Linked DNA regions of Drosophila melanogaster. Changing the gene in region 3 together with the main gene of any one other region gives a genetic interaction. Each region holds a gene or a part of one and is shown on either strand. Other genes may lie near its edges.

Region 1 (7,151 bases), on a different chromosome or scaffold from region 3:
CAGATCGTCAAGAATGTTTATGCCAAATTTATGAAAGCAGTAAAGTCATAAAAAACTGAGCTGTAAGACAATATAAAACTTAAATGAAATGTAACAATTACAGAGGACGCAACTCAACAAAAAAAAGCTGCATATGTATTTGCAAGGGAAAAATAAAAAAATCGAAAACAAAACCAGAAGGAAACCAAAAATCACGGTCAATGTAAAGGCGAAGCCGTAATACCAACGAAAAGCGAAAAAATAAAGCAGACAACGAGAGAAACAGAAAAAAGCAATGCAAAGTATGTAAAATATAAAAAGCCGCCTGTACGTATAAATCAGCTTGGCAACAGGCCAAGCAAATCGAGATGGAAATGACGATGATGAAAAGCGGAGGCAAACCTCCTCCCATCCAACCCTCCTCCTATTTTCCCACCCCCTTTGTGATGCTGTGCAGAAAAAAGAGGAGTTCAAAACTTGCGGTTAATCGGAGTTTTTGCGCTCCCTCTCTTTCTCCAGGCGTAGGCTTCATCTCGCTCTATCTGCGCAGCAGTCAGCTGTGTTTTGTTGCCAGGCAGGATGCGGCAGGAGTCGCCATTTTTGCCGCCATTATGGCTCCTCTTTTCTACTAAAGTCCACCTACACGAAGTTGCCGAGCAAAACAAAATGGTTGAAAATGTCAAGTGCGGCAGAGACGCCGGCAGCGAAAAACAACGCCTAGCAGCAGAACAGCTGTTGGCAACAGCAAAGCGAATGATGCGAATTTGCAAGCCAAAGCAGAGCGACCAAAACTTGGAGTTGAGTACGGTGGGGAACATTTTTGTACTCTGCACTGTACCTACATAGGTACATATTATTATCTATGATAACAAAAATCTATGTTAATAACTAAATGTTGAACCAAAAAAGTAATAGTCCATAATAGTTTACATAATAACCGCTAGGTTTACGCATCTTTTAATCTGCATCCAATTAGCCAACAGATAAAATGTACCTGTTCCCATCACTGATTAGGGAACCGCTGCTGTCATTGCACCTTTTGTTGGTCGCCATTGGGAATGGGTTACGTGGTGGGCTCTGGATGCTGTATGCATAATCCTCTCCCAAAACAAAAGGCTCCCTGCCGCATTTTTTTTTTTGCTTTTGGTAGGGAAAAGCTCTGTTGGTATTTAGGAATTTTTGTCGGGGTTGTTTGCGCCTCGCATTTTTAGGCTTTTAGGGTTGATAGCTGGCTGATGACTAAGCGCGTTTCTGGCTAAAAGTATTCCGTGAATCTGGCTTGCATGTATGTGTGTATGTATGGCATAGCTGGGGGAACCAGGAAAAAGGGTTCTCGCTTCTTGGTTAACTACAGTTTATCCCTTTCTTGTTTCAAGGGCTTCAAGCATTGTTCACTAGTTTCGGGATGTGTCACGATTAGATAAATTATCCTCTTGAGTGGCTAACTAAAGTACATGATCGGCGTGCGTTGAGTAGGGGCTTAGATGTGGTTCGGGAAAATGAGATAAGGGAAAATTACTTTTAAATCGAAACTTTCACGATAACGTCAAGTCTTTTTAGCTCGTTTTTCAAAATAAATGCCCCGCAATCGAATTTTCACTGGGCATCAGCTCTCGTAAGCGAAAAAAAAGTATCTCTGTATAAATTATGATATTATAGACGAAAACAGATTGAAGCGCCCAAAAGTGACTCACTGTAATTTCGAGAAGGGAACGCTTTTTTTTCGTCTGACCAACTGTTGCTGACAGCAAAAAAGGTAACAAACCAAATAAAACAGCAAAATAATATAAAGTAACAATTCGGTTGTTCGGTGGAACCAAAGAGCGCAGCTGGCAATCATCGACAGCGACAAAATCTATTATGCAAAGGCAACACAAAATTAAGGAACGCGAATGAAAAACCGCAAAGCAAACATGAAAAGCGCGCGCGCAAAAAAAAGAAAAACAATAAAAACTGACCGCACTCAACGTGGCCGAGCACAAAAGCTACTTAAACAACCGTTAAGTCAAACACTTTGCAAATGGCCCACACCCTCAACCCGTTTGGCCCCCTTTTGGAAAATCGGAAAACTAGTTGCCTAAGGTCAAATGGCGTTTAATAATTTGGGTTAGTCGAGTGGTAAGATATACGAGCAGTACGCTCGAGATAGATAGATATCTTGCAGATACCCAGACACACAGGCACACCACACTCACTCAAAAGTCTCAAAAGTAAGACATTCGACTCGAGTTTGGCGCGTGCCAATTAAACGTGCTTAGCTCTGTGCTCCCAGCTCTGTTTTATTGCCGCTGGGTTATGTTTCCCTGGTTTCAGCCAGGTCTTTATTTTCTTGCTGGTCCAGCACACGCCCAATTTTTTGACCATATTTACGAACAATATCGCATGACAGCCAACTCGGCAGTTGTCTTGCATGTGTCTCGGCGTTTCTTTCTTAAAGCCATAGCACACTAAAAGTTTTATCAGCCTAGTTTAGATAATCATGACCGAAGGAAATTGATCTTAATGTGATTTATCGAGCTAGTTATCACCATTTCTACTTTATTTTCATTTATTTATAACATAAGTAGATTTTTGTCTCAATACAAAATTTTTTAATTTGTAAGATTCCCACTTTGGGAATTTGATCCAGTAATTCCCCACATGATTTTGAGTTTTTGCAGTTTTGTGACTTCGTTTATTAAGTTTGCTCTCTCCTCCAATCGAAACTTCTCAATTACTTCTCAATTTTCCCCTTTTTGAACTTGTTCGATTAATTTTTATTGAATTACCGTTTTTTCGGCTTCCTTTCGAATGTGGCCGAGAAATTTGCCTTCCGCTCTGCCTTTTACACTTTTTTTTTTGCTGATAAGCTGACAAAGTGCTGAATTGACCATATATAAAATAAAAAAAAAACTGGGTAAAAGTAAACAAAAACAACCTGGATGCAGTTGACGCAGTTACTCGAAACTGGATGAATCAACAACCTTGAAAAGTGAAACTTGCACAAGGGGAACTGAAGCAGTTAACAAATAACGTCACAACTTGGCTAATTGCTGACCCATTTTAAAATGAGGGAAACCCTCCGGCTGTCCAGAAACTTTCTTAAACTAAACTAAATGATATTAAAAGCGGTAATCAAAAATATGAAACCTTTAAAGTCGCTTGTATAGAAAAAAATTGTTCGCCATTTTTTATTGATCAAATCTATTAGTTTGAAAATATCTTCAAACATTTAAAATGCTGTTTTTTCGAAAGAAATAAATTTACTATTCTTTAAGCAATTTCAAGTTAATAACATTTTTTGTTTACTTTTACAAGGAGATCCTATGAAAATCCTTCTTGTTAATAGCAAAACAAGTGGGCTTAAATAAAGTGTTGGTTATAAGCATTTTAGAAAATATATTACCAACATGCGTAAGCAGTTATTCTGTGTGGGAACTTCTTAAACATTTCGCAATTAATAACCGTATATGAATCGAAACTTATTTTTGTATCTGCAAATGTATTTGAGGTAAACTAAATGGATATCCTGATTAACCCACACAATTTCAAAGTTCTTAAGAGTGGAGAATTGAGATCTTTGTAGACTTACCACTCTGCTGGCTCTGGTACATCCTGACCCACTCGTAGAGGGCGTATAGCACTTGGTCGGTGGGCAGTGGAGACTGCATCGGCGTCTGCGTGGCCGACGAGGTGGTGGTGTTCGGCGATTGCGAGGCGGCGCTGCTGGCGCCGTCCGACGATGCGGAGGACGAAGATGAGGCCGAGGAGGCGGAGGCCGAGGACACGCCCGAGGAGGAGACGGACGAGGATGCGCTCGAGGGAAGTGGGTGGTTGTGGGGGGAGGAGTTGCCCGAGGCTCCCGATGAACTCGACGCTACGTCATCGGCGCCGCCCTCGGGCAAATAAAAGGGCACGGCCATTGTGTGGGTGTGTGTGTGTGCTGGCTTCCTTTTTGTCCTTATCCGCTTCCTTCCTTCCTGCACTTTGTTGGCACTTTGCTCTTCTTGTGATTGTTCTTCGCTGCTTTGTTTTGCTTTTTATTTTGTGTACAACTTTTGGTTAGAGTTCACTTTAATTGATTTTGTATTTCTTGTGCAAGATTTTGAATATTAGAAACTTTTTCATTTTTCGTGCAGTTTTTTCTTATGATTTGTTTTTTATCTTTCCTGATTTGTCAAACAACACTCAAGTCAAGTTTTTGCTCGGTTAGTTAGTTTTTCGGATTCTTCTGCGTTTTTCATCAACCCTTTTCGTGTTTAGAACTGATTTAAAAACACAAAACTGTTCACGATGGATTTCGTTTTTTATTTTTTGTTATTTTTTTATTCTTTGCTTTTGCTGTTGTCAATTATGGAAGAGCACTTAAAACGTGTCGCAGACTCAAAGAAAGAGGGCAGGAAACACGTCTTACTGGCTCCGCGGCTAAAAATGAACTGTTCGCACTGGGGCCTCAAACTACGGCAACAGAGCCTCTACCGCGACGTCGGCAGAGCGGCAGCGTAGGCGCGCAGCCAGTGCAATCGCAATCTCTCTCGCTCCCTCTCCTGCACATGCACGTGCATGAAGGAGGCACACTTGAGAGAAAAAAAATATTTTAAAAAATCCCGCTCTTTACCTACCCTGTAATAGCTGAGTGAGGAAGAGTATACTCGGACCATGAATTGCGTCTACATAAATGCATCAAGGAGCATAGTTAACATATCTAGATTTTAAGGTTGTAAAAATTTAATTGATTGGCTTTCGCATACTGAAAAAACTGAAATATTGTACCAGCGCACTAATTGCTGAAGTAACACTATTTTATAACTCATATTTACTTACAACATAAAGTACATATTTAGATGCACAAACAATGTGAAGGGTATGTCTCAGTTGGTACTCTTACAAAACGTTCTTTCTCGTTTCAACTAAGAGTGTGTGGGCAGGCTGTGTACGCGTGTATGTGTGGGTACACAAAGATCTTGTCGAGCAGGTAAATTCAGAAGAAGAAGAAAACTCATCAGAAGTAGCGAAGAGGCAGTATATCCGACTGCGCTGCCTAGCGAACGCTAAAGCAAAACAAAAACTGCAATTGTACAACACTCTTTGCTTGTGGTTTTCGTTATTGCACTTTGCTCTTGCTTTCGGTTTTGATTTGTATTTGTTTAAACAAGAGAGCGGAGGGAGAGCAAGCGTTCTTAAGAGGCCAAAAAACCGGAGTAGAAAGAGTATGATAAATGGGAGTATATTCTATGAGCGGATTAAATGAGTTAAAAAGGTAGTAGAAAAAAGGGAGTTTTTAGACAAAGCTTGATTACTTTCTCACATTTTAAAATATTTTGAGAAGGGAAGTTCACAATTTTATAATGTTCAATACTTTTTTTTTGAATATAAATTTGAAAAATAGCAACATGATTAACAAAGGATCCAACTTGCTTAGCTCAGGTTTTACTGGCTAAATGAATGTACATATGTATGTATGTATGTACATTTATGCAGAGAATGATTAGCTAGTTTATTGTATTTAATAAAATAAATTAAATTGTTTTATATTTTGGGTATTCAAGCAATGTAATAAAGACTATTTAGTTGGCGTTCATTCACATTAAACATTTCAAACGTGTTTTTGAATATACGATAAGGAGTTTAGCTAATTACATTTCCGATTTGGATGTTGGCTATATTTAATCAATTTCACCATATATCAAAAATTGACTGTGCAACATGAAAAACCTGTTTTCGCTCTTACTCTTGTCTTCCTCTGCATCTTCCCCTCTCCCTCCCACACATTATACAAACAGGCTTTTTCCTCTCCTTTTCTCTCTCTCTCTCTCTCTCTCTATTTCCTTCTCTGTCATTCCCAACTTTGCGCGCGAAAACGCTTGAAAAAAATTACGAAATACGCGTAAAACAATTCTTGGCTTTTAATTTAAATTTTACGGCAAATAATTCTCGTAACTGGCATTACTTTAGATCCATTTATTAGCTTTGTATCTATGTAGCTCTAGTAGCTCTCTTAATAATGTGGTATTATAAAATGTTCGCAATATAATTTAAAACAAATTAGATTCTAGACCTAAAACTAGTTTAATAGCCCATATTTCAAAATAAAAGAGGCCCGTCGAAAATTCTGAAGAAAATGCACTTGCATTTAATCTAGTTTTATTATACTTGTTCATATCCCTTAAATGATTACCTTAAATTTTTAAAATCAAAAATGATTTTAGCCCTACCTGACACCTTTTTTGTTTTCACCCAAAAACTCTCTTTATTTAATAAACTAAGATTGAGGTCAAAAATATGCCGATAAAGTGCGATAACACGTAAGCTAAACGACTCGACGACAAATGTATGTACGTAAGTATGTATGGATGAACATACATGAATATGTACATTATGCAAGGATTTCCCAAGATGACGAAATTCAAGCACACTCTTGCACAAAACGACATAAAAAACATGAACATGAGCGAGCATGCAACAAGCGAAGAAGTCCAAAGCGAAAAGAACAAAAGTACGTGAAGGCGGAGAAAACGGGGATTAATCGGAAAAAAGGGGCTCGATTTTTGTGATTTATTTTTTGTTTTCCCTCAGCTCTGCTTATGTTTTTAGATCGCCTTTATTATATTATTTGTATATCTTTCCCGTTCGCAACTCCAATTACTCGAGGCAGTGCAAAATAAATACAAAATATTTGGATACGAAACTGATTAAGCGTAATATGAGTGCACTGTGTCGTCGAATTGGCTGTCAGTGTCCAGAAAAAAGCAAAATAAACAGTAATGTGTTGTCTTGAAAAATGCGCGATTGAACAGGCCATTTTAAAAATGGGTGGGGTTTTCAGATAACAGTGTTTTGAATGGGGGTGATGAAATCAACTTGAGGCAGCACCGTTTGCGTGTTATAAATTCAATAGCACGCAGTTTCTGGATACACAAAGACAGTAGCCATGTTTTCCATACTTTTTCAAAGAAGTTTCGTATTTGTACGCCTAGATTGTGTTCAAAATGCAACTTATTTTCAATTGAAATACATACATTTTAAATAAAAGAAATTAATATATGTATGTATATTTTAACAAAGAGTAACAATGCCAAAAACGATGAGTTAATGAACTTTTCGTGTTAAATCTAAACAACTTATTAAAACTTAAATTTTTACATACATATGTATTTACCTTCAAAAAGAAATTAAAATAAGACGTACATACA
Region 2 (6,810 bases), on a different chromosome or scaffold from region 3:
AGTGAAAAGCGAACTGGTTGGGCTGCTTTTTGCATCCGTTGTTTGTTGTGGGCTGTGTGCATGTAAAGCAGCGGATCTAAGAAAAATATAAGTCAGTTCAGCGTTCGCCGGGGGAAAACCCACAGTTCATAGTAATATGCATTTACAATTGAGTGCCAATTGTTATGGCATACATACATTCTTGACCAACGGATTGTGTTTGCCTATTTGTACGGACATGTGTAGATACTTTTGTATCTGTGCGCACGAGATACAGATTCTCAACAAGCTCTCGCCGGCCAGCTGCCCACTCAAAAGTTGACTTTTCGCTGCCGTCCGGGCAAACAAAAAGCGAATCACAAACAGCACAGAAATACGATGAGAAATGGCATGATAGACAGGGGAGGGGGGAGGAAGAAAGAGGAAACAGCCCAGTTGCACTTTTAGTCGTGTGATTAATATGCCGAGCTAGAAAAAATGCCGAATGGGCGCATTTTAGATAAGCATTTGGTTGGATGATGACTCATCGTCTTCGAGCACCAGGCAATCGTTACTCCACACACCGAGCCACTTTGTTTATCTTTCTATATGTGCGATGCGAAATTTTTTGGGATAAACAATCTGCAGATTCAGATGGAGAATAATCCCCGTAAGCAGTATGCACACACAATATCTGGCCTATTGCCACAGCGAAAATTCTGGAAAACGTGTTATCTGCAAAGTGGGCGTATAAATAAGATATAGCCGCAGATAGAAAAGATTCCCATTTTCATGCGAATTGAAAAGCTCCAAGGAATCCAAGTGCGGCAAGTGGAAAGTTTTATGGCAGCAGCCCGGCACTGATAAGACTGGTTGGAACTACGTATCATAAAAGGTAAGTTGGGACAGTGATACCTCGTTGCGCGGAATCAAACTTTTTGTATGGAGCATACGTTCTGCACAATAAAATAAAATGGGAATTCAAAATTCATTTGAAATATCAATAAAAATAGTTAATAATAAAATACAAAATATTGTGGGCGTAGAATTTGTATGTCCAATAGCAAAACCTTTTAGCTTTTAAAGTTCTAGCGATCTCGACGTTCATACATATGTTAGCAATAATACAATTTATTTAAATAAACCATAAAAGTGTTGGCATATAACTTTATAAAAATTCGCGTTCTTTGAGTTGGACACACCAATTTGAATATTAGTCATGCACTCTGTGGGGGGAAAATTTGTATGGGCATGACATCAAAGTTGGGATTGTTATGCCCGTAGAGCTTTGGTTGGGGTCACTACAATTTCCTCGGCCCTTAGTATGGCGTCCAAGCATTTCTGACCACTTCGAAAACCGACGATTGCAAACACCCAAGCGCGGGTGTGCTGCCTTTGTTGTTCCTGGCTGTTCTTTTCGCTTTTTGCTTTTTGCTTTCTGCTGCTTCGACATTTGTGCCAGCCAGCCGCGTTCATTTTATATTTTTCTTGTTCAATTTTTTATAAACAACGCACACACTTACGATTGCCCTGTGAGAAACGAGAGTCGTTTGTGGTATTTGTTTTTGTACTCATAAAAGTTTAATAAGCATGCCTCAGTGTTCTTTTCCTCGTGGTTGTGTGGGTGTACGCCGTACATCGACAATGGAAACCTCGCCGTTGCACCACCCCCAACCGAGCCCAAAGTGAGCCCCCCCACCACCACCACTTTGCCACACCAAGTATTATTTAAGTAATCATTTATCGTTGCTGCTCGCCTGACATTTTGCACGATGTTTGTCGGCTTTTGTTTCGTCTAACGAGAAACACCGGATCGATTGGGTTATATTGAGCTAAGTAATGTGTCGGCACACGGTTTCTTATCACCACATAATGCTCGTTCCGCGAACAGATCAATGTTTGTTGTCACACTTGCCCCGATGACCTCACTTATCTGTTCATAAATCCCACCGATCTTAAGCTCATAAAATATGTGCTCAAGTCTATTTGTCAAAAAATAAAGTAATTAAGGAATATTTGTCCAAACTGTCATCTGCAATACAAATACAATCATGGTTGGGTATCACTCAGTTATCAGTCTTGTGTTGGTGCTCAATGGTTCGAAAAGTGATTATTCGACTGAAGTCAGTCAGGTTATCAAACAATACAGCTACCAAACATTGTCTTTTATTGCTTAACTGTAAAGTCTTAGCAAAATTCCAATAAATGGGACTCCTTATCAGCGGAGTGCAACAAAAGATTCGCAGAAATGTATTAATCCTCTATTGAATCCATTTTTTACTGCTCTATATTACTTATTTGTTTTTCAAAAACTAATTAGCATTAGGGTCAATATTTCCATAACCAATGATTTGGGTTTTTCAAGTAATAAATAAATATGATCTTTAATTTTTTAATAATAAGTACAGCTTTGATTACGAGCTAGACAGATTTTCGGGTTTCAAACTTGATAATTGGGCATATTGACAAAAATATTTGTAAAATACGTTGTAGTAAGTTCCTCAAAGTAACTTCCTCAGAAACTATAGATTGAAGTTTTGATTCGCTAGTTCGGGGGCCATCTACTACCACCAGAAAAGCATTTTGCCAGCGATAAGCAGGCACAATATGTGTAAGTACAGTAGGCCCCCAATCTATTGAAGGCGCAGCAGAGTGCTCCATTTACGACAATGAAATGCAACGCAATAAACGACTTTGATAACGAGGTGTCAATGTAACAAAGTAAATAACGAGAGTCGCCGATAAGAAGCCGGCTTGATTTGCGCTTGAGGATAGTGATTCGCATAATAGCGCAATAATTAGCACTGCCTATATCGAAGATCCAGAAATAACTTTAAACACATGTGGTGGACTGGATTGGTGGCGATAAACTTTGCTGCATAAATACATATGTTCAAATCTGACGGGAGTGAGTTCCAACACGATATAGAAGAACTAATTGGGGAAACGAACTTTGAGCACCCTATAGTTTTAAGTATCGTGGCATTTAGAGTATATCTGTTCATTCGAATCTATATACAATATATTTTCAATATATAAAAGCCACATTACTACTTTATTTCAATTCAGGGTGAACTTTAAATGTAAAATATAGTTTCTCAGACCGTAAATACAATTCTGAATAAAGTACAATATTATATTGTATCTCCCTTTCATCTATAAAATTAATGATTTTAACCACTGTTAATAAATAATGGTAGTTATATAATGTATGCGTTTTATTAGTTGACATAAACGAAGAAACCCCTCTGCCAACTAACCTATGTAAGTTGACCGTCCACCTGGCCATTGATTGGAGGACCCACTATGACCAATGATAATCTACGGTGTCCACAGCAATGCGATCGGGTTTATCAAATGTGAAACGCCAAGGGGTTAGCTAACGTCGGCGTCGCTGACAATCGTAATTTGTCCGAAGTGGTAGAAGCCAGCCGGGTTATAGCCAGGCCAAGAAGTCATGGTGGAGAGAGGGGAAGCCCGCGACGGAGGAGGGGGCAGTAAGCGACCGACGACAGCGAGCAAGATAAAAGTGTTGAGCGCGCAGAAGTCGGCGACGTATGAAAGCAAGAGTAGCATGTGAATATGAGAATGATAGGGCCCCGTACGTCAGACACTTGAAAAAATAGTGCTAGAGTAACAGTTAAATATGTGTTGCCAAATGTTGTGATACCAGGTGTTGAATCGGGCCCCAACACATGGGATTAATTTACCAATGCCTTATACAAAAAATTGTATTATGTATTTATACAAAAAAGCTTAATTTTTTAAACAGAGGACATTAAATATATATAATTTTTAGTTTTATAGCCTCGCTTTCTCGCTGTGCAAGGGAGCGAGTGGGACGGTGAGATGGGGAACAGCTAATATACTCGATATCAGTGTTGTTGTTGCTGCCATTTGTGCTATTGCACTCGAAATTCTTGTTGCCTTTGTTTTTATGGGCTTTCCAGGAAACAACAATGAACGGGGAAGAAGAAGACCGGGAAACAGGAGCGTGAAGAACACATGTGCATGTGTGTGGGTATTTTGTTGATGTATAAATAAAGCGTCAAGTGGAAACACATGATGATGGTGCATCGAATTTGTGGCCAAAAGGCAGAGAACCTTCGTGAAGGCCTTGCGGAACCACCACACGCCCACCCACATTATTTGCGCAGTGCACATTTGCAGCGGAGTCCTCCCACCCACACACGCATTTATATACGTACCCCCCACCACTCGTAAATTTGTTGCTCTTTTTCTCCTATTTCTATTTACCTTTGGTACACAAACACCAACGCACAACACTGTGTAAACACACACGGCTGGCTGGTATCGGTTAGTTTGTATTGGTACGCCTGCCGCTGTTGCTCTTCGATATTTTTTATTATGTATTTGCCGTTTTATTTTTAAATCGCGCTGGCTTCACGCACACACAAACATTACACACACGACGCAGTGCGAGGGAGACGGAACGCACATGCACACCCGCACACGCACTGAGAATTTAGAAAAAAAAACTAGAGTCTCGACCAAAGGAAATCCTATCAGTTAAACGAATCCTTGAAAACAAAGTGCACTTGCAAAAGAATTCAACTGGTTGCGCATTTGAAAATTGCTCCGCATTCGAACAATTCCCTATAGTGGCTAAAAAACGACTGCCGCGTCTCTAGAGTTGGAGCGAAAGCGATCCACATGCGATACTATCGGACGATGAACACATGTGAACAATCGCTGTTAACAGTGGGTATCGATTCTGATAAATCTCTGCCAAACCGGGAAGATAGGAAATTCTAATTAGAAAATAAGTTGATTTAATTTTATAGAGCAGCGCAGTAAAATATTGTTAACAACCAGGGACCAAAGCTCGATAACTATGGTAAAACAAAATTTTTGAATTGTTATTACTTATAAATTTTTGACTTGGAATGCACATAATTAAACAAATAGCATTTAGGATTTTTCGTAAAGATGTTCTAAAAGAAACATTAAGACTAAACAAGTTACGAAATATATATCTCTATCGTGCTAATATTCCACTAAACTTTGTGAGTTAATTAAAGAAAAATAAGTTGATTGAAGTTATTATTTAGAAGTAAAATGAATTTGATGGTGGAAAACTCTGATAACCCGAAGTGCAACCCTCGCACCCCTGTTAAGTTAACAGCACTGTCGGCTGCTAAAGAATAAACAATTTGCGAAGCTAATTGCGATAAACAAACATTTATCAAAGGGGGTTTACACCCATTTTCGCATCATTGTGGCGCCGCAGATATGAGTGCGCATGTTGTCTGTACACACACGAGCTGCCACCCACACATATGCACCGCTGGCGGTGTAATTAATTGCATTTGATTGATTTGTCCACCGAAAGTCAAGGTTACCCCAGACGCAGAGAAGCACAATTAATGGTCTTTTGCCAACTCTTGTGTATTCTGCATATAAACATACGCGACTTCTGAATTTTCACCTGTTGTGCGCAGCAACAAGCGAGCATGAGAATGCCACCCCCGACCCTCTTTAAATGAAGAGGGTTGGTGCTCGGAGAGGGGTTTTTTTAAGGCTGTGCCCCGTCTAATCAATAGGCCTTAAATAATTAATCCATTCCACAATCGGCGCAGCACAGCAAATCACTCACCTTTCAGATTGCCTTTTTGGTTATGGCAGGTGTTGGGGGAAAAACGCTTTTTATCCTTAAAACAACACCGCCTGCAGCTCACGGCTGTTGGGCCACCTAATTCCAGGGCAAATAGTCTTAATTATCACTTTTAAAACGCACTAAATTTACGTTGTTTTCGTTTTGCGAGCACTCGAATTTTTGCGAACGCGACTACCAGCATATTTCGATATACAGCACCCCCGCAAAAGATGTTATCGCGTAATCGCCGGAGGTGCCACCTGTCACAACCGATGGCGCGCGTTTTAAAAACGATTGAGATAATCGATCAGTTAAACAATTTTGTAAATTTTAATAATAAAAACACACTAACATACAAGAATTACATAGTATATGCTGGTGTGAACACCCTCAAATTCATGACTATTTTAACAGTCGCAGCGCCTTGACATTGAGTTGGCAATACACAATATACAAAATGTTCGGGTAAATCGTAATCATTAATCTAGGAGTGTTATTGTCAAAGCAACACCATTGAATACGAGGTCCTGGGGAGCAGTATGTGCCAGGCGAGTCATTATTCAGACAGTTTATTGGCTGATATACTTTCGGCTTACGGCGATAATAAATCAATTACGGTTAATAACAAAGTTAAGCGCTTTCGGGTGTCTTCACTTCATCGCTTCTCTCCCTCACAACTAACAGCTAAAAAATATCTAACAATTAGAGCATGTCGGTGCTTCACTTCTATTTCCTCAGCTCATCCATCGATCGCGAGACTTAAGATCAAAGCAGTGCGTTTTTGGTGTGGTGTTTATGGGTGACGAGTGGCAGGGGCAGGGAGCTGGGCTATTTCTCAACCCGTCTCAAGTTGGCCAGCTCCGTGAGCCACGCCTTGATCAGATCGTAGGTGGAGAAGCTGATGCCCACGGCGATGGGTCCCTTGATCCAGTTCATGCTAAGTCCCTTGTAGAAACCGTTCTTGACGCCCTCCTCACTGTTTGGAAATCGTAATTAAAATCGCAATTAAAATATGAATAAAATCGTTGACAAAGATTTGCACGCACCGATAGATCTTGACGAGAGTCTCCAGGATGGTTGGGTACCGATCTCCGCCAGCCGTGTTCACCCGCATTGTCTGCATTCTTCGCCGCACAATGTCCAATGGATAGCTGGCCGTTTGCCCGGCGGCACCAGCCGCAGCACCGAAGGCCAGCGAGACTAGAGTATTGGGTTTATTGTTGCCGACCACTTCT
Region 3 (9,680 bases):
CCAGTGCATGCGATTCTCCGCTTTCCCTGGACACGTGCATTGCTCTCGTCTCGCCTTGATGTGTCCATCTGGGAGTGATTTCCATTTAGCAGGTCCATTAATCACTTTTGGAGTTTGGCTCATTATCGCTCTGAAAGTGTCACACGGCCAAGCGGATATTTATTGAATGCATTCAGTCAATGGCAAGAGAAAACAAGCAATTAATATAGAAACAAGTGCATATTAAAATTCCGTATCCGATTTGAATAAAAATATGCCAAGCTGTCAACCGGAAAGCCAAAAAATGGCATACTTTGCGCATTTGCCAACAGGTTGTATTGGGCATCAAACAAAAGATTTTCATTTTAGGACGCCGCTGCTCGCAGTCTTTATGCCCTATCCCAAATTTAACAAATTTTGGGAATTTAACAACGAGCTTTTAGCTTGATGAGCAGTCGAGATAAGAGCGAAATTCGGTGTACAATTTACGAGTATTGTTCTGAAACTCTTCTTTTTTTACACCTGAAAGCGGTCATGGATGAGTGGTTCACAAAAAAAAAAAAAAAAAAAACAAAAAAAAGACGACAGAAGAGCTCCCCAGTGACACTCTTTTTCCCGTGAGTCAACAGCCTCTGGTTTTTTTTGGCGCTAGGCAGATGTTCGTACCAAAAGCTGACGCACTCTATACGTAAGAGCGGGGAGATTTAAATCTATGGGCTCATCCCCGCGAATCACGCAAAATACGCAGTCGCAACAAAGAAAGCATTTTAATGGGCACATATGTACGTAATGCACATATGAATGTACGATCGAAAAATGTACATGTAAGTCTTTACATTTCAGTGATTCAGAAGTCCAGCTTAACAAAACCAATAGAACGAAATGAATAATATGGAATAATATTTGGATTACTCTTTTCATAAAACAAAATTGTCTGTTCATTTTTGAGAAACTAATCTTAAAAAACATAAAAATGTACTGTAATGTGGTGTTAGAACAGGAATATTCATATTCTAAATCTCTTGTGGTACTCCTGTAATGTATCTCTAATTTTCCCAGCTCTATTTGAAAACTTAGTCACCTACTTTCACCTCAAATTTAGATAGGTATTAATCTTAATTCTGACCCAGCATTTCCACTTTGCCTTGTAAATAGTTTGTTCACTCATCTTTTTAAAGTAAGCTCTAAGTAATAAGACGATCTTATATGTAAATCTTAAATACTTAGATGCTAACAATCAGAGCCCTAAGGAGTCGAACTACAAACCCAAAACTTTGATTACCCTGCCCAGAACACACTTATTCGACGGATACAAAGCTGATCGGCGCAGCCACTTTCCTCGCCTCGCTTTGTTTTCATTAACTGCATAATTCAAGCAAGTTTGCCAAAAAGCCGCAAAAGGCCAAGAGTGAGATGCGAAACTGCATAACTTTGGCCATACTTCAGTTGCATTGCGTGTAATATTTAATTATAAGAGGACGCCGCCACTCCGCCCAACGCTTTCCATGAGCGGTGCAACTTTACGGCACTTGCCAATTGCACTTTGGTGGCAGCAGCCTCCTTGGGTGCGGGGCGGGGGTGGTATAAACGTCTTGAGAGGGCATAAAATATTTAATTGTGTCACGTAACTTTCTGAAACTGACTGGCGTACGGATAGATGGCATCCCCTATATACTTCACTGGCAGAGCAGTATGCATTACAATTTTAATTTCCGAAGTGGCGGGGGAAATGAGATTACCAGACGTCAAGTGCTGAACGAAATTATCTGAGTCGTCTAGCAGGTCGATTACCATATGAAATATACAGCTTTATTCATTTGCTTTACTCCTTTTAATACAATGACGTAATTAGTTTATGCTTCCATATAAAAAAAATATATGAGTGAAGAGAAATTTTCCGCCTGGCTCATTCAGTTTTCAATTTCCAATTAATCAATGCGATTAAAATCCGCCTTCGGTTTTTCGTAATTCGTTACCTTTACAACTATGCTGAGCAGAGAGTTTCATCAGATGCATTTTAAGTGTTGCTTTTAGTCGAGTCTTTGTATTTCGTATGATGCGTATTATTTTGCCATTCCTTAGAGGATTCACACACATTTTATATAATTTCTAGATCTGGGCTGCTCTCGTAATGGTGTTGTGAAAATTAAAATGCAAACAGCTAGACAGTAACTCCTTCGTTGGAGCTGCGCGATTCCAAAACGCGTCGCCGACAACAAAACGGGATCGTAAAATAATTTAATGGTTAAATTAGGAATATAGACGGGCTTAGGGCAGCGTGTAACGGACGTAGGGCACCTCCACATCCTCGCCATCCACATCGTTGCAGCAGATCTCGAAAACCAGGGATCGCTCGTGTGGCTCCAGGCGACGCTTGGACACGCGACGCACGACCTCCGACATCGGCAACGGCAGTCTCTCAGAGCACTTGGCCTTGGGCATGAAGAACGAGTACAGCATGGACACGCCCTGCGAGAGCATGGTGATCTTAAGCTTCTCATTCTCCTCGAAATAGTTGAGGAATTCCTGCAGCGACAGCTCCCCGGTCACCTCAAAACGGTCCCACAGCGTCCACTCCTTGCCGTAGTATGTGTTCTTGGCGGCAGGAAGCGGCTCAGAGAAGGCCATGAACGGCAATGCCAAGTTGGCGAAGCCGTTCTTGAATTTTACGAGATCCCGGTGGCCGACGATCAGCTTAATCACCTCGAGCACAGCCAATCCAGAGAGCACCGACGTGGTGGTGGCAATAGCAGGTATGATTTTGCCAGCAATCAACTTGGACTTGTGGCGATCCGCTGGCGGAATCTTGTAGTTGGCGGCGCGTAGATTTGAGCAGGCCACAATGAAGTCCATGTGCAAGTTACTGTCGTCGTCCTTTTCAAACTCAAGTGGCGTGATCTTGGAGCTTTTGTCGGCGTTCTTTAGCAGCTCTGAAATGATCTTGTCAACGCGATCCTGGTCCAACTCGCCGTCATCGAAGTTATTGGCCGAGGCGGCGGCTGCTGCCTCATTGGTTTCTATTTTCACGCCCGAACGGGGTTTAAACTCGGGCACCTATAAATCAATAATATCAGAAATGGTCCCCGACGGTATTAATCTCGAACAACTAACCTTAACCTTCTGTACCAGCTCTGCGATCGTCTCGCGATTGCGAACCTGCTCAATGCCATAGACCTCAGCTCGAAGATTGGCGGCTGCGTAGATAAAGTCGAGGTGCATGGGATCGTTGACATCAAAGACCAGGGGATCGGGGCACCGCTTGGGACCAGACCAAAACGGCTGACCACTGGAGGTGATCTGATCAGGTGGGAAGTTAAAGAGCAACTGCTTAATCTGGTTAACATATTGATCCTCCCAATAAAGACGGGCCCACTCCACGCAGTGCGCGAAACTCTTGGGTTTGTCGTCGATCAGAGCTTTCTGTAAAAATAAATTACCATTAAGTACAACATATTAGGCAAAGAAGTAAATTCTATCCTTACCTTGATGGAATCGAGGATCTCCAGAGGCTGAATACCAGGCAGCTTGGCGATTCGCTCGGTGAACTGAGGATCGGCGATGTACTGAGCAGCATTTTCTGCAGACTGCTTGAAGACGCCCTCAAAGGCGTCACGCGCCCACTGCAGAGTGTGCTCGATGGCATTGGGGAAGTTCTTCAGCGTGCAGATGGGAATACTCTTTTCTGGGGGATCCTGGGAGGAGCTATAAGATTCGGTGGCAAAGGGCACAATCACCTGAACGTTGCCCAAAGTTCCCAGAGTTCCGGTCTCGACGAGCGGAATGCGGTTGAAGATGCATTTGCGATCCATATATATGCGAGCATCCACGTTGTCCAGCGCATTGGCTACACCATCCAACTTTCCAAAGAAATCTTCGGAAAAGACTTTCTCTGTTTCGGCGCCAACGCGCAACTCGTATGCGGTGACATTCACTTCCGGATTCATCCGTTTGATAGCGTCGGCGGCCGTCATTGATTTAGGCTTCTGCACATCATGCGGGCGGAACAGGAACTGCCGGTTCAGATTCGACTTCTCAATGAGATCCATGTCTGTGACGAAAATCTGGCCATTGCCAGTTCCCAGGCCCAGCATTCCAAAGTTTTTCAATAGCTCACAACCAATGGCTCCGGCGCCGACAATAAACCATTTCGAGTCAGCCAACTTCTCCTGGAACTTCTTGCCAAATATGGCAATCTGAGAATCATAGCGCGAGCCCACCGGCTGGGCATCCGCCTCCTCGACACCCTCTGTGGGCAGACACTCCAGGGCGTCAAAGTACAACCACTGGTAGATGGGTGTAAACTTTCCACTGCAGGCCTTAAGCACCTCCTGGGCCACAATTCCACCAACGGCCGCGTCCAGCGGGCACGTATTACCCGAGCAGATTTTGGCGAATTGCAGCACCAGTTTTTCGTCGACTTCCGCGTTGCTGCTGGCTCGGACTACCTCGAGGAAGCTGTTGGCGTCCTCCTCGTTCCAGGGACGCGGTAAGGCTCCATTATGGGCCTTGCGGTAGCAGGAGAGGGCATTGAAGGCCACGTGCAGCGTGGCCGGCGAGTCCAGCTTTGCGAAATCGGAGATCAAAAACTCCGGCTCCTCAGTGGCCTGTGCCAGGGGCTTGAAGCTGATGGTCTTGGGCATCTTCACCTGGGTGGCCACTCCTCCGCTCTTATATTCTCCAAACTTGCTGGTATCACCGATGCTAAATGTGTAGGGTCCCAGCACTGTGATCTTAAGGGGCTGACAACCGTTCAGTTCCTGCATGCCCTGCACCTCCGAGAAGGTGACGTAGTCACCGTCATTAAAACCATGGCGCGTCTCGTCCAGGCAGGTGACGACTCCCTGTGCGTCGTGCGTGATACTAGCTATCATGGTGGAGATCGGCTGTGTGCCATCCTGATCGTAAATGGTAAAGCTCTCGCCAAAGTCACAGAACACCTTGGCGAACAGTCCGCGCGTCTCGGCGATGATCAGAGCAATGCCATTTTCATGGGCAAACTTGGCGATCCTCTGCTGCTCCTCCCCGTCGGAGTTGGTCAGTACCACAACGCGAAACTTGCGCAGGAACTCCTCGGTAAGCGGCCCCGTGTGCGAAACGGTGCGCACATAGTTGTTTAACTCGGCCAACTGGGCGCAAGAGGCCTCCGCACGATTCTTGCCGATATCGGCTTCCGTGAGATAGAATTGCGACGACAAGTCATGGAGCTGCAAGACAAACGAATAATCATTAATATTATATATCAACGGTGATGAAATTAGCAGACGGGAGCCATGACTAACAAAGGAAAATTGGTTCTGTGCCGAGTGTACAGCAAAGACATATTTGTCATTAGAACAAAAAAGTTTTTATGATACAAGAAAACTTTAAATTGAAAGGCTATTAACTAAATAATTGATATATTACGGTTTATGAGAAACTCATAGATCTTAAGTTGAATCTTTCAGTGCATAAAACAAAACCGAATGCGTTGAGCAAAGGGGAATGCAAACACAACGGCAGCGAGCGATGCGCATACGGTTGTCCCGCTCACACACTTTTCGCATGGCGCAGACATTTTGAGGCAAATAGAAAAAGAAGGAAAACCGAATTACACACACAAAACGAATTTTTTGCAAGCAAATAGAGATGTTAACCTAACCTTATTTCGCGCGAAGTCTATGATAAATAAATCAAATAAAAACTGAATGATTCACTAAGACCAGGGATGCCAAGTCAGCCTTTCCGGGCATTTCCCGCGTCCGCCTGGAAAATTATCGATTTTTTCTTCGCCCCACACACATACCCCACAAGTTGCTGTGTCATGCAAGGTGATCGATTTCACGCCGCCCAGAATCACATTCTTGGCTATCTCCAGGCCGAGTCCTCCAAGTCCCGACAGAAGGATATCCGAATTGGCCATCCGACGCATCGCATCGTGACCCAGGACGTACAATTGGCGCGAGTACAGCGATTCATCGATATCTCCGCCGGCGGCGGCACTGTTTCCAGCCATGTTGCTGCTTCCTTCCAGTTGTCGGTTATTAGTGCTGTTATTACTGTTATTGTTGCTGGAGCTGACGTTGTTGTTGCTGTTGCTAGTGGCGGATGCACTGGAGGAGGCTTCTTGCGATTCTATTGTGGTGGTGTTCAGGTAATTGCGCTTCTCCGGCCGCTTGCTTCCTTCCTTTTCCACTGCTGACGAGGTACTAACGTCGTCGCCGCTTCCTTGGCTCTGTTTCAGTTTCTGCTTTTCGGCTCGCTTCGCCGCAGCATTAACGCCGCATGTGTCAGAGGTAGACGACGATACGCACAATTCCAGCTGGTGCTCGCTAGTCGTCTTGCTCTGGCACTTGCCCGAAATGTCAACGCCGCCTGCTTTGTCGTGATTTTCGTAGTTGTTGCTGCTACTGCTGCTCGTTGCTCCGCCGGCTTCTTCCTCTTCCATTCCCATTGCCCCCACTCCGTCACCCAACAACTCTAAACGCCTTTTTTTGGCCAGCGGCGAATGGTCACTTGAGCTGCAGGCTGGCGAATCGGCCATCAATTGCTGACCGCTCGACATAGCTTCCTTGCTGAAATATTGGCAATCGAATTTCCCAGTTGCGGCTGCACCGCTCGCCCTCTCTCTTTCGCACACACGCACACTGCAGAATGCGGACACACGCACACGGATGGACACACAAGAACGCTATTTAGTCCGGAAGTCAATTTCCCGTGGTTTCTGACTCGTTCCAGGACAGCGGATTCTATTTGTGGCCGAATTTCTAACAACGCACTCCCAAAAATACAGAACACGCACGATCGAGTTGCAGTATAGAATTCGCAGTAGTGTGGCCGCGGCTCTTGAAATTGGCAAGCCTGCCCAGTGTGACCGACCTGTGTGAATTGGAGGTGGCACAATATAGATTTTATTGCGATGCTATCGATATTTCCGCAATTGGTTAGTTAGGTTTCTTTTCTATATAATAACGCCCAGATTAATAATCCAATTAATTCACATTATTTTAATAATTAAACAGACGGCTTTCATTTTTATTATTCTATTATTTGTAAGTTGGCCAAGTAAAACCAAATGAATTTACACAATTAAAATTGGTAAGCGGGACAAATAAATCAGATTCAAAACTGATTTGCAATACTCCAATTAGCAAAGAATAGGCAGTGGGTTTAAAGCCCAGCTAAGCGCAGTTAAGACTTAAACCTTTTGTGTCACTAACTTATCTAAATAATATTTTTTTGGAGATCTGGCAGGCCTGAATAGTCTAAGAGGCGGTGTTGGTAAACACAAGTTTACCGCGTATTCAGGATACATTTGAAATCGTTTATGTTTATGTTTTTACTACACCGACTGAAATATTAGATTTTGTTAGAGTTAGTTAATTCTTTTTAAACTTGAAAAAAAAAACGGTTCGGGTTCAAAAAATACAAGCTCGTTTAATGAAAATATGGCTCGCATTTTCAAAAATTTGTTGATTTCAATTGACATTTTTTTGCTATGTAATGTTCGAAATTTAAATGTATATTGGTAATATATTTATTTGATAAAATTTAAAGTGGGTTTTAATTTGTTTCAAACTGCTTATAAATAGATGATAACAGACTTCTGGGTCATTACTTTATTTTTCATAATTGTGGTGCAAGCACAACCCTGATATCTTGATATTATTCATTATAATAATAATAATTATTCATTATAATATAGCTTGGCTTCCCCATTATAAATTCCTATATACTTTGTACTGGTCAAACTTAAAAGTAACTTATACATGTATATGGCTTAAACTTGATATTTTTGAATTATGCCATTTAATAGATCGTTCTTATTTTTCTAAACAATTCAAAAATTGTGTTCCCTTCTTCTATAAATAAAGCAATATTCACAATATTTTGAATAAATAAAATATATTGGAATATTCGTTTTTGTGAGTGACATAATATCGATTGAAAGTTAATTTAGCAAATACATATTTCAAACGTAGAACAACCTCTTAATAGATGTGTGTTCAAAAAACTTAAATTTAATAATTCTTTACTCTCCGATTTCATCAACTTCTAAGCCATTAGCTCGAAATTGAAATATATACTTCAATGAGTTTGCTGGTCATCAATCTGTCGGCACTTGAGGCAATTATCCTGGCCCAAAAACCCCGATCGTGGCACGCGCCCCTCGGCAGTTGTCCCACAAACCAACACCAACTGACCCACGGCGAAGTCCTTCGGTGTCGCTTGGTCCTGGCCGGGTTCAATATCCTTTGAGAGCGGCTAATCTATTTTCGGTCGGGGTTCCCTTTCTGTTCTGTGCAACGGTAGTCGAGCATGAAAATGCGTAAATTTCCACGAAAAACAGAGAGCTATCCTATACCAGTTTTCCGAGCGGCGGGGGTGTGTCCTTTTCAAGTGTTGAGAGCGTGCCATTAGGAAAATGCAGTACGAGGGGCAACAGCTGCAGGATCTAAAGCCCGGATCTTGTCGCACAGTTGCGTAAAATGCATTTTAATTTACGCCTACAGCTGCGCGAAATGCTGCTCCCGTTTTAGAAATTCCCCCCTCCCTCCTCCGACGCTCTAATTTTAGTCCGATCTCGATAGGATCGAGAAACTAGCCGCGGACTTTATCGCGTGCGGTGTGTTCCACGTCCTTGTCGCGTGGTATAACCCGAAAAACACAAATTCCTGCCAAATTAGCATACTGATCCTGCAGCGAATGAGCGGGGGTGTCTGCTGCCCATCTGTCCTCCAAATATTCTGCATCGCGTGCCCCCGAAGAGATATAAACATGCATACGTATGTACATATGTGGAATGCACTCCGCCCTCCCTAATTAAGCACATCACATATGGCCACGCATCATCCCTATGCAAATATTCAACCATTAATCAATTGGGAATGTAATTTGAATATGAAAAGCCGCTGAAAAAATGGCTGGCACTATTAATTTCGCCGCTGTCAGCGGCTGGCAGGGTAGAAATGCCTATTCCCAAAAATTGGCAAAGGGCTTTGGGTTATTTTTTTTTTTTTTTTATCCTACACCAAATTATTGTAACAACAACTCGGCAAATTGAATTTAAAAAGAACAAGAAACATATGCTCATTAAAATCAAGAGAGCTGGGAGGTTTTTCATAAATAAATAGATAAATGATTAAACTCTCCTTAAACTGTTAGAAAAGTCTTTTTATGTCCCCTTCACTTAAAAATTATGCCTGAAGTTCCAACTTTTTTCTAAAACATTGAGGATAACACGAAAGGCACGCAGCATTAGGTGGCATTTTAATACTCCGCTTCTTTCAGAGCGACAATTGTTCCTTTGACTAACCCCAAGATTGTGGAAAACGACTCCTTGTTGAGCCACAACTACCGAGGTGCCCATCTAGCCCAGTGTCTCGAATTGCGTTTATCAAGGAGAAAATATATCTCTTCTGGCGATCAACATCTTTTTGTCCTACGAGTATTGCCACTAAATGACGAGCGGTTCCCTCGCTTTAATTGTCTGGGAAAATGCGCATTATCGCACAGCCACCATCTATGAGGAGAAGGAAGACGATCGCAACAATTGAAGAAGTGTCCCCTGCCGCCTTGGAAAATACGTTACAAATCCAACGCTTCGGTGATTTGGCTCTGGGCCTCCAGTGAGTTGGTCAAGTGGATTGCCGCTAGTTGCTGCTGGTCTTCCCCTATGCGTTGTACCAGCTCTTTCTGGCCTAAATACGCGCCGCTTTATGCTC
Region 4 (6,906 bases), on a different chromosome or scaffold from region 3:
TTTGCATTACAACTAACTGATATGAAGAGTACGACTGAACTCGTAGCTAATATTAATGATAATTTTCGGCATGTTCCCCTGAATAAAATTTTATATTTATTATATCAGCGATCAGTAAAATTTTCGAAAGAAATATGGTTAAATTTAATACGAAACCCTTAAGGAACCACGATTAACTCGCAGTACGCACCCTGGGCTGAATGTAAATCGGGTTGTCACCTAAATGATGCACAAACGACAAAGGAAACTCCTTAAAATAAAAAATTCAGTTCGTACGTGATAATAGGAACTTTAGAATGCAATATTCCTGACCTACATACATATATATGAAAAATCAATGCAGAGCCGCAATCGTTGATACATTTAAAATGGAACCACTGCCAGCTGGCAAGTTTCTAAAAATTGAATAGTATATGCGTGCCATGAACTCAGCTTTCCTGCTCCAGAATATCGGAAAAAAGTGCACATACGTATAGGATATAAGCGTAAAGGGAATACTCACAGTCTGTCGTCGTCTCGCCGGGAGAAACCCCGATCGCGGTCATCCATGTGGTCACGGCCACCGCCGCCACCTCCTCCATTGTTGCCACCATTGCCTCCTTGTACGCCGCCACCGCCGCCTCCACCACCACCACCATCTCGCACAATGCGTCCGTATTGATCGCGCTGCTCGCCGTGATCCTCCTTGACCACCAGTTCGCGGCCATTCACCTCATAGCGGTTCATTTTCTCCAAGGCCTTCTGTACGTTCTCCGGATCCTTGAACTCTACGATGCCACAGCCGCGAGCCTTGCCGCTCTCATCGAAGAACAGCTGGACGTACTCAATGGAGCCGACGATGCGGCGGAACAGATCCTTCAGATCCTGCCAACGGTAGTCGTATGGAATGTTCGAAATGTAGACCCGGCAATTGCGACGTTCCCGGCTACGGTCGCGAGCAGCGACGCCACCTCCCTGACTACCAGCGCCGTTTCCATTGCCATCAGCGTCCGTGAAACGGGAGCCACGTGCTCCGCGTCCACGACGGTCGCGCTCCTTCTCGCGGCTCTCCACCGAGTTACTAGCGTCCATGCTCATTGTTGTCTGCAAGGGATTCGCAATGCGTTTTGTAGTTCTTGCAATATTCGTAGTAGTACACACCCGGAGCGGCGTCCGCGAAAACAAAATGGCGACCGCGTCAATCGACTTTTTCGCCAAATGTTCTTTTCTATGCTAGCGTTATGGCTTACCTTTTGATGTTGGCTGTGCTCTTAATACTGGTAATATTTCTATTTTGCTGCTTTCGGCGTAGTAAATTTTATACAATGAACAAACGCTTGTGACAAACTACAGTTTCCGAGATCAATAGAAAACCGTACAAAAGTCTATGTTAGAGTTGACAGTGATACGATGACAGCACATTCATCGATGGTTTGATATTTGGACGTGTCTCAGATTTCTATCGACTAGACATCGCCGATATTCGAAAATGCTCTTCGAATTATCGAAATGTAGGCATACTGCAATTTACGCGCGCAACGCAAAAATTCAAATAATAGAATATTTGGCTCAACAAGACAGGAGACTTTAGATGGAAAAATAGAATCCACAAAAGCAAAACTATGGAATAACTAAAACCACTTTTCATAAATAGTACACACAATCGATTTATTTCGTTTCTTTTTGTATGGCAAAAATTAATACAAAAAATTAAATATTAAATGTATGTATGTATGTATAAAAAGCTTAAAGCAAACTATATAATGTAAATTTAATTGGCTGTTTGTTTTCTCTCCGATTGATCTGTCAGTATGGTAAGTAGAAAGAAAGGCAAATCTCAAGAACTCATACGGATTATAATTTCATCATCGTAGCACCACAGATATGTGTTTAACCGAACATAAATCTAGTTTGGGGCTAGCGAATTTACTCGTTTGTGCGAAAGTTGCTGTGAGCTTATCGGCTTTTGCTTGTTTGTTCTCTAATGATGAATACTAATGGAATTCTGCTCGTGCGTGTGTGCGAAAAAAGATTACATTTATGTATGACTGTCGGGTTGAAACCAATAGATAACAGGGCTGTAAAAATACACAATATTTGTTTACATCGCGTTTCGGTTTTAAGCACGGAGTATCTGTTGAAGTACAAACAACATAGAATCAAGTTAAGTGCTGGTTGAAAACAAACGGATATAGCAGCTGAACCAAGGCAGTTACAACAGTATTCATAGTTTTTATGTAGAGGTACATATTCATTTTCATTTTCGATTTGCTTCGTTCGTTTTTGTTTGCTTGTTATTGTTAATACTCTTAAAAGGGCGCCTCGCAGCCTTTCAAACGACACAAAACACACACATTCACAAAATCATTTCGACGTACATAAAACTCTAGTTACTTAAATTAATTACAATTTCTCTTCTTTTATCTGACAATTGCACCGACCAACACGCTCCCACATGTGTGTGTTTTTCGCATTGTGTGTCCAAAATGGACAAACCATCGAGCCCAGGACGATCGGCGATTCGCCGACGCACATACAGACAAACAGGCGACATTTGAAGAAATAAAAAGTGAATAATAACCAATGCGTGGCCGTTTAGAGCATTTTACATTTAAATCTACGATTCGGCTTGTTCATTTTGCGGCCCCTCCGCCCCTTGTTGTCCTTGTCCTTGCGGATTTCGCGCACCAGTGTGTAAAATGCATCGTCCACGCCCATGCGCGTCTTGGCGGATGTCTCAATGTATGGAATGCCGTACTGTTTGGCCACCTGAGAACAACCATAATTAACGGAATGTTCGCTCGGAACTCTGAAGGCCGGTACTCACCTCTCTTGCCTGCTCGTTGTTAACGTTCCACGAGGCCAGATCACATTTGTTGCCCACCAGCACCATGGGCACCTCTTCGGCATCCTTTACGCGCTTGATCTGCTCACGGTAGGTGCCGATATCCTCGAAGGACTTCGCACTGTTGACGGCAAAGACCAGCAGGAATCCCTCGCCAGTCCGCATATACTGATCCCGCATGGCCGAGTACTCCTCTTGGCCGGCGGTGTCCAGGATGTCCAGCAGGCAGGTCTCTCCATCTGCAGGGGAATATAAAATGCATTTGAATATCGCAACTTCTTAAGGTCTCTTCTAGTATAAACGGGAAACCAAACCAGCGAAAGGGTGCAGAAATCTCTAGAGTATTTGGACCTGTGCAGCCCTAGCTTTGCCAGATCTAAGTACATATAACTCACCGATAACCACTTGCTTTCGGTAAGAGTCCTCGATTGTGGGGTCGTACTCGTCCACGAAATGGTTCTGGATTAGCTGGATGGTGAGCGCGGACTTGCCCACGCCTCCGGCTCCAACGACGACCAGTTTGTATTCCGTCATTTGGCTGTGGCGTCCGTTTTCGATTTGCCGTAGTCAAATGTCACAGTAACAGTCTCTTTCTCGCGATCGATGCTTACTCTCTTGTGAAGCGCCCGCAGATGCAGTCTCTCTCTCCGTACGCTTGTTGCGTGTGTTTGTGTGGGTGACTGTGCGTGTATGGGCTGCAAGTGGAGTAAATTATTAATTAAGATTGATTAAAATAAATTAAACGCATAATTAGGCAGGAATTAATGCACGTCACTGAGTCACTGTGACTAGGCGCTTACTCGCACAAACACACACGCACCACTGCATGCACACAGCCAGACGGGCAACACAAAAAAAAATGGGAAAAAGAGATCAATGACTCAAACTAAAATTAAAACCCATTCGCTCAATGCAAATTAGTTAGTCTCCCCCATAGCCGAGTTGTTAACTAGGTGAATTTGCTAATTCGGCGGCGTTGTTTTTAGCCCTTTTCTTTATTATTTTTCTTTTGCCTGCCGGGGCTGCGGACCTTCTTTGTTGCTGCCTCTTCAGCTAGCTCCTCCTTGTTTTTCCGCTCCGCTCCTCTCTATCAATACTCTGCCTCTCTCTTCTCGCGCGCGGCGCAGTTGCTGGGCACGTTTCACGTCACTTTCGCGGCTAACGGTGCGACAGGCGGTACTCCTCGATGGCACCAATTTAATTGCCGTGCGGTAATTGCAATTAACAGCGCAGGAAAACAATAAATCCGTATGTGAAATGAAGATGAAATCTAGGCTGTACGTAGCTGTGAAGATACTAGAGCTGGCACCAAGCCGATGGCACTATCGATAGCGATGGCTGCATTCTGGCCGGCACCATCGATGGACTTGCAATAGCGATTGCTATATGAAAACTAATCTAAAGAGGTGGATGCACTTCAGTCGACTCTCTATAATTTGCTTAAACTAATAAATGATTTGATCAATACAGCTTTCTGTAAAAACTGGCAGACGCTTTCTGCTTTTAATAATTGTTAATTTAAGTTCAACGGGCTGGCATCACCGTTTCTTAGCACGGACTCAAGCCTGAGTCTATTATTTCAACCACCACTGTAACGAAAACAGCATGGACAGATTGAAATTCAATAATTTGGTAAATAAACGATTTTATTTAAAATTATAGAGTTTTAATTAAAAAGAACTTTTACAGGTGATATCCAACAAGAAGGTCATTCAAAAGGCACGCGCCCAGACCATCGCCAAAATCGTACAAAAGCTGCGAAAGACAAAAGAGGCTCTGGCCAAAAATCCAGACAGTGAAAAGGAAAAGATTCGTTTACGCAAGAACACAGAATGCCTGGCCCAGTTGAAGGCTCTAAAATATATGGATATGGTACGCCAGTCGCTCCTGCAGGAGGGCACAAATCCCAATGCGGTGATTGCTAACGAGCGCTCCACGCCGGATGAACTGGGCATTGCCATGCTGCGGCTAAACAAATTGATGCACGGACTGGTGGACAAGTTTGTGGAAACCTTGAAGCTGAGCACCACCGATAAGGAGGCCAAGTGGCGTGAGGAGATCCTAGAGACGAGCAAGCGAAGGGCCAAAATAGAACGCACTGAGGAGCGGAAGAGGAAGCGCAAGGAGCTGAAGGAGCAGAAGGCCCAAACCAAAAACCGACTGGAGTGGTTAGAGCAGAACAAAGTGGTGGATGCAGATGTTAATGGAGCAACTGCGGAAACGCCCACTCTTCAAGTCAGCAAAGTAAATGATCAGGAAATACCACAGTCTTTTGCAAAAACTGAAAATTCTCCAGTTCTCAAAGTCAAAAAGGAAAAGACACCTAAAACACCAGCCAAAAAAGAAAGAAACCTTCAGAAAAAACAAGCTTTTGATGAGCAGATCAACCCGGAGATAACTAAGCTCAGTTCCAAAAAGCAGAATTTAAATACAATCAAGGAGAATAATGCAGAGCCACAACTAGAAGGCAGACCGAAAGAATCTAAGCCAAAACCCTTCGAGAAAAAACCAGCCAGAGAGCAGAAGCCTAAGCCACGATTAGAAAGGCAGCCAAGTATCGATGAAGAAGAACCACAACTTGACAATAATCGTCCCACACATGTCGTTGATCCCTTCTTCATTACGGAATCAGGCCAGCCCTACTTGTCCAGCGCCGTGGTTCTTTCCGGGGACAATGACAGCGAAGCTGATGAGGAACAGGCACCGCCGCCAGTCAAAAGGTTCCGCAATGAGGATCGACGGTCGAACACATATCGGGAGAAACCGGAAAGACAGCCAGAGTTCAAAGCGAGAAAGCCAACTGATGATCGTCATCCCTCCTGGCTGGCTAAGCAACAGCAGAAACCAATCATTGGTGATTTTAGAGGCAAGAAGATTACATTCGGCGACGACGGCCAGGCGGCGGAAATTATTGCTCCAAGTATCAATCAATTAACCGCTACTGCTGCTCCTTTGCCCACCGATGGCATGCACCCGTCTTGGGTGGCCAAACAGAAGTTTAAGCCGAAAATTGCCGCGTTTCAGGGCACAAAGATTAAGTTTGACGAAGATTAAAGATGATGTCAATGGTATTTTGTTGTTTTAATAACTAAATAACTGCAGCTTTGCTGCTCACACGCCAACTTTGGGCACATAGTGACCACGAATCTTGTCCTCGTTGCGCAGCTTGTCCACGTTGACATCGGGGAACTGGCGACGCAGCACATCCAGATCGAAATTGGGGTTGCGACGCAGGATCATCATGACTTCGTTGCGGGAGCGGCTGCAAAATAACAATTTTTATTGAGATATCCCATTTAACTAAGGGCAACATACTTCTTGGCCTTGCGCTTGGCATTGTAGAGTTTCTCCCTGTACTTTAAGAGGAATCTGTTCACAGCTCTGCCGCCGTAGCCAATGTTGCGGGATTTAATCCATTTGAGGTTCATGAAGGGCGGCAGGGCGTGTTCGCATGCTTTGTATGAGACCTGCAGGCCAAATGCGTTCTTCACCGCCTTCTGGGGCCGTTCACCCGTTTCACCTGTTTCCAGCAGGTGATACGCCTTGTTCCGCTCCCTCACTACTGTCTCCAGGTTTTCCATGGAGATTTTCACCTGCAATTCTAAAGTTTTAGAAAAGGATCTCCACCATCAAATATCGCCCACCTTATCGATGCGCTCCGGACTAGGGAAGACTTCCATTTTGTCATTGCACTCGTGCTCCATGGTCAGCAGCATGTTGCGCTCCTTGAGGAGCACGAACCACAGCTGGTGCAGCTCCTTGTTGGACTTGATACGCAGCTCCTCCGTCCGCCAGGCGCGGCCCACCTTCACCTCATTCTCGCTCCAGTTCTTCTTGTCGTCGAAGAACTCCATAAGATCCCGGCGAACAGCGGAAGTGTGCATTTGCATCGGCATTTGAACATGCGGCGTTTGCAGGGCAGCCGCACTACATATTACATAAAAACAAAGGCGCGTTTATATCGGTTACTCTGTGTAAAAGTCGGATTTGTGAAAGAGAACGGACCTGCACGACTGCCATGGCTGCTTGGGAGCTGCCAAAAAGCTCCTGACTGTCGCATTTCCCACAGTTTTTGCCAAATT

Evidence for each region.
Region 1: of Uba1 (region 3) and hid, changing one suppresses a phenotype caused by changing the other (phenotypic suppression), as found in Drosophila melanogaster (3 studies listed by BioGRID).
Region 2: of Uba1 (region 3) and Stat92E, changing one suppresses a phenotype caused by changing the other (phenotypic suppression), as found in Drosophila melanogaster (one study listed by BioGRID).
Region 4: of Uba1 (region 3) and Ras85D, changing one suppresses a phenotype caused by changing the other (phenotypic suppression), as found in Drosophila melanogaster (2 studies listed by BioGRID).

Annotation. Positions count from the first base shown.
Region 1 is NT_037436.4:18,181,242-18,188,392, forward strand, and holds the start of hid (head involution defective), read right to left. Parts: upstream 4,401-7,151; 5' UTR 3,882-4,400; coding exon 3,551-3,881; intron 1-3,550.
Region 2 is NT_033777.3:20,546,506-20,553,315, forward strand, and holds the start of Stat92E (Signal-transducer and activator of transcription protein at 92E), read right to left. Parts: upstream 4,603-6,810; 5' UTR 4,216-4,602; intron 1-4,215. Other genes in the region: DPCoAC (dephosphocoenzyme A carrier), read right to left, coding at 6,404-6,551, 6,622-6,808. UniProt on the Drosophila melanogaster protein: Might play a role in signal transduction and activation of transcription.
Region 3 is NT_033778.4:9,686,521-9,696,200, forward strand, and holds Uba1 (ubiquitin activating enzyme 1), read right to left. Parts: upstream 6,809-9,680; 5' UTR 6,521-6,808; coding exon 5,762-6,520; intron 5,184-5,761; coding exon 3,462-5,183; intron 3,400-3,461; coding exon 3,091-3,399; intron 3,034-3,090; coding exon 2,248-3,033; 3' UTR 1,769-2,247; downstream 1-1,768.
Region 4 is NT_033777.3:9,508,934-9,515,839, forward strand, and holds Ras85D (Ras oncogene at 85D), read right to left. Parts: upstream 4,135-6,906; 5' UTR 3,855-4,134; intron 3,520-3,854; 5' UTR 3,359-3,519; coding exon 3,220-3,358; intron 3,064-3,219; coding exon 2,807-3,063; intron 2,749-2,806; coding exon 2,575-2,748; 3' UTR 1,628-2,574; downstream 1-1,627. Other genes in the region: rump (rumpelstiltskin), read right to left, coding at 503-1,077; Rlb1, read left to right, coding at 4,430-4,456, 4,514-5,878; mRpL47 (mitochondrial ribosomal protein L47), read right to left, coding at 5,936-6,086, 6,140-6,417, 6,469-6,751, 6,830-6,906. UniProt on the Drosophila melanogaster protein: Ras proteins bind GDP/GTP and possess intrinsic GTPase activity. Plays a role in eye development by regulating cell growth, survival of postmitotic ommatidial cells and differentiation of photoreceptor cells.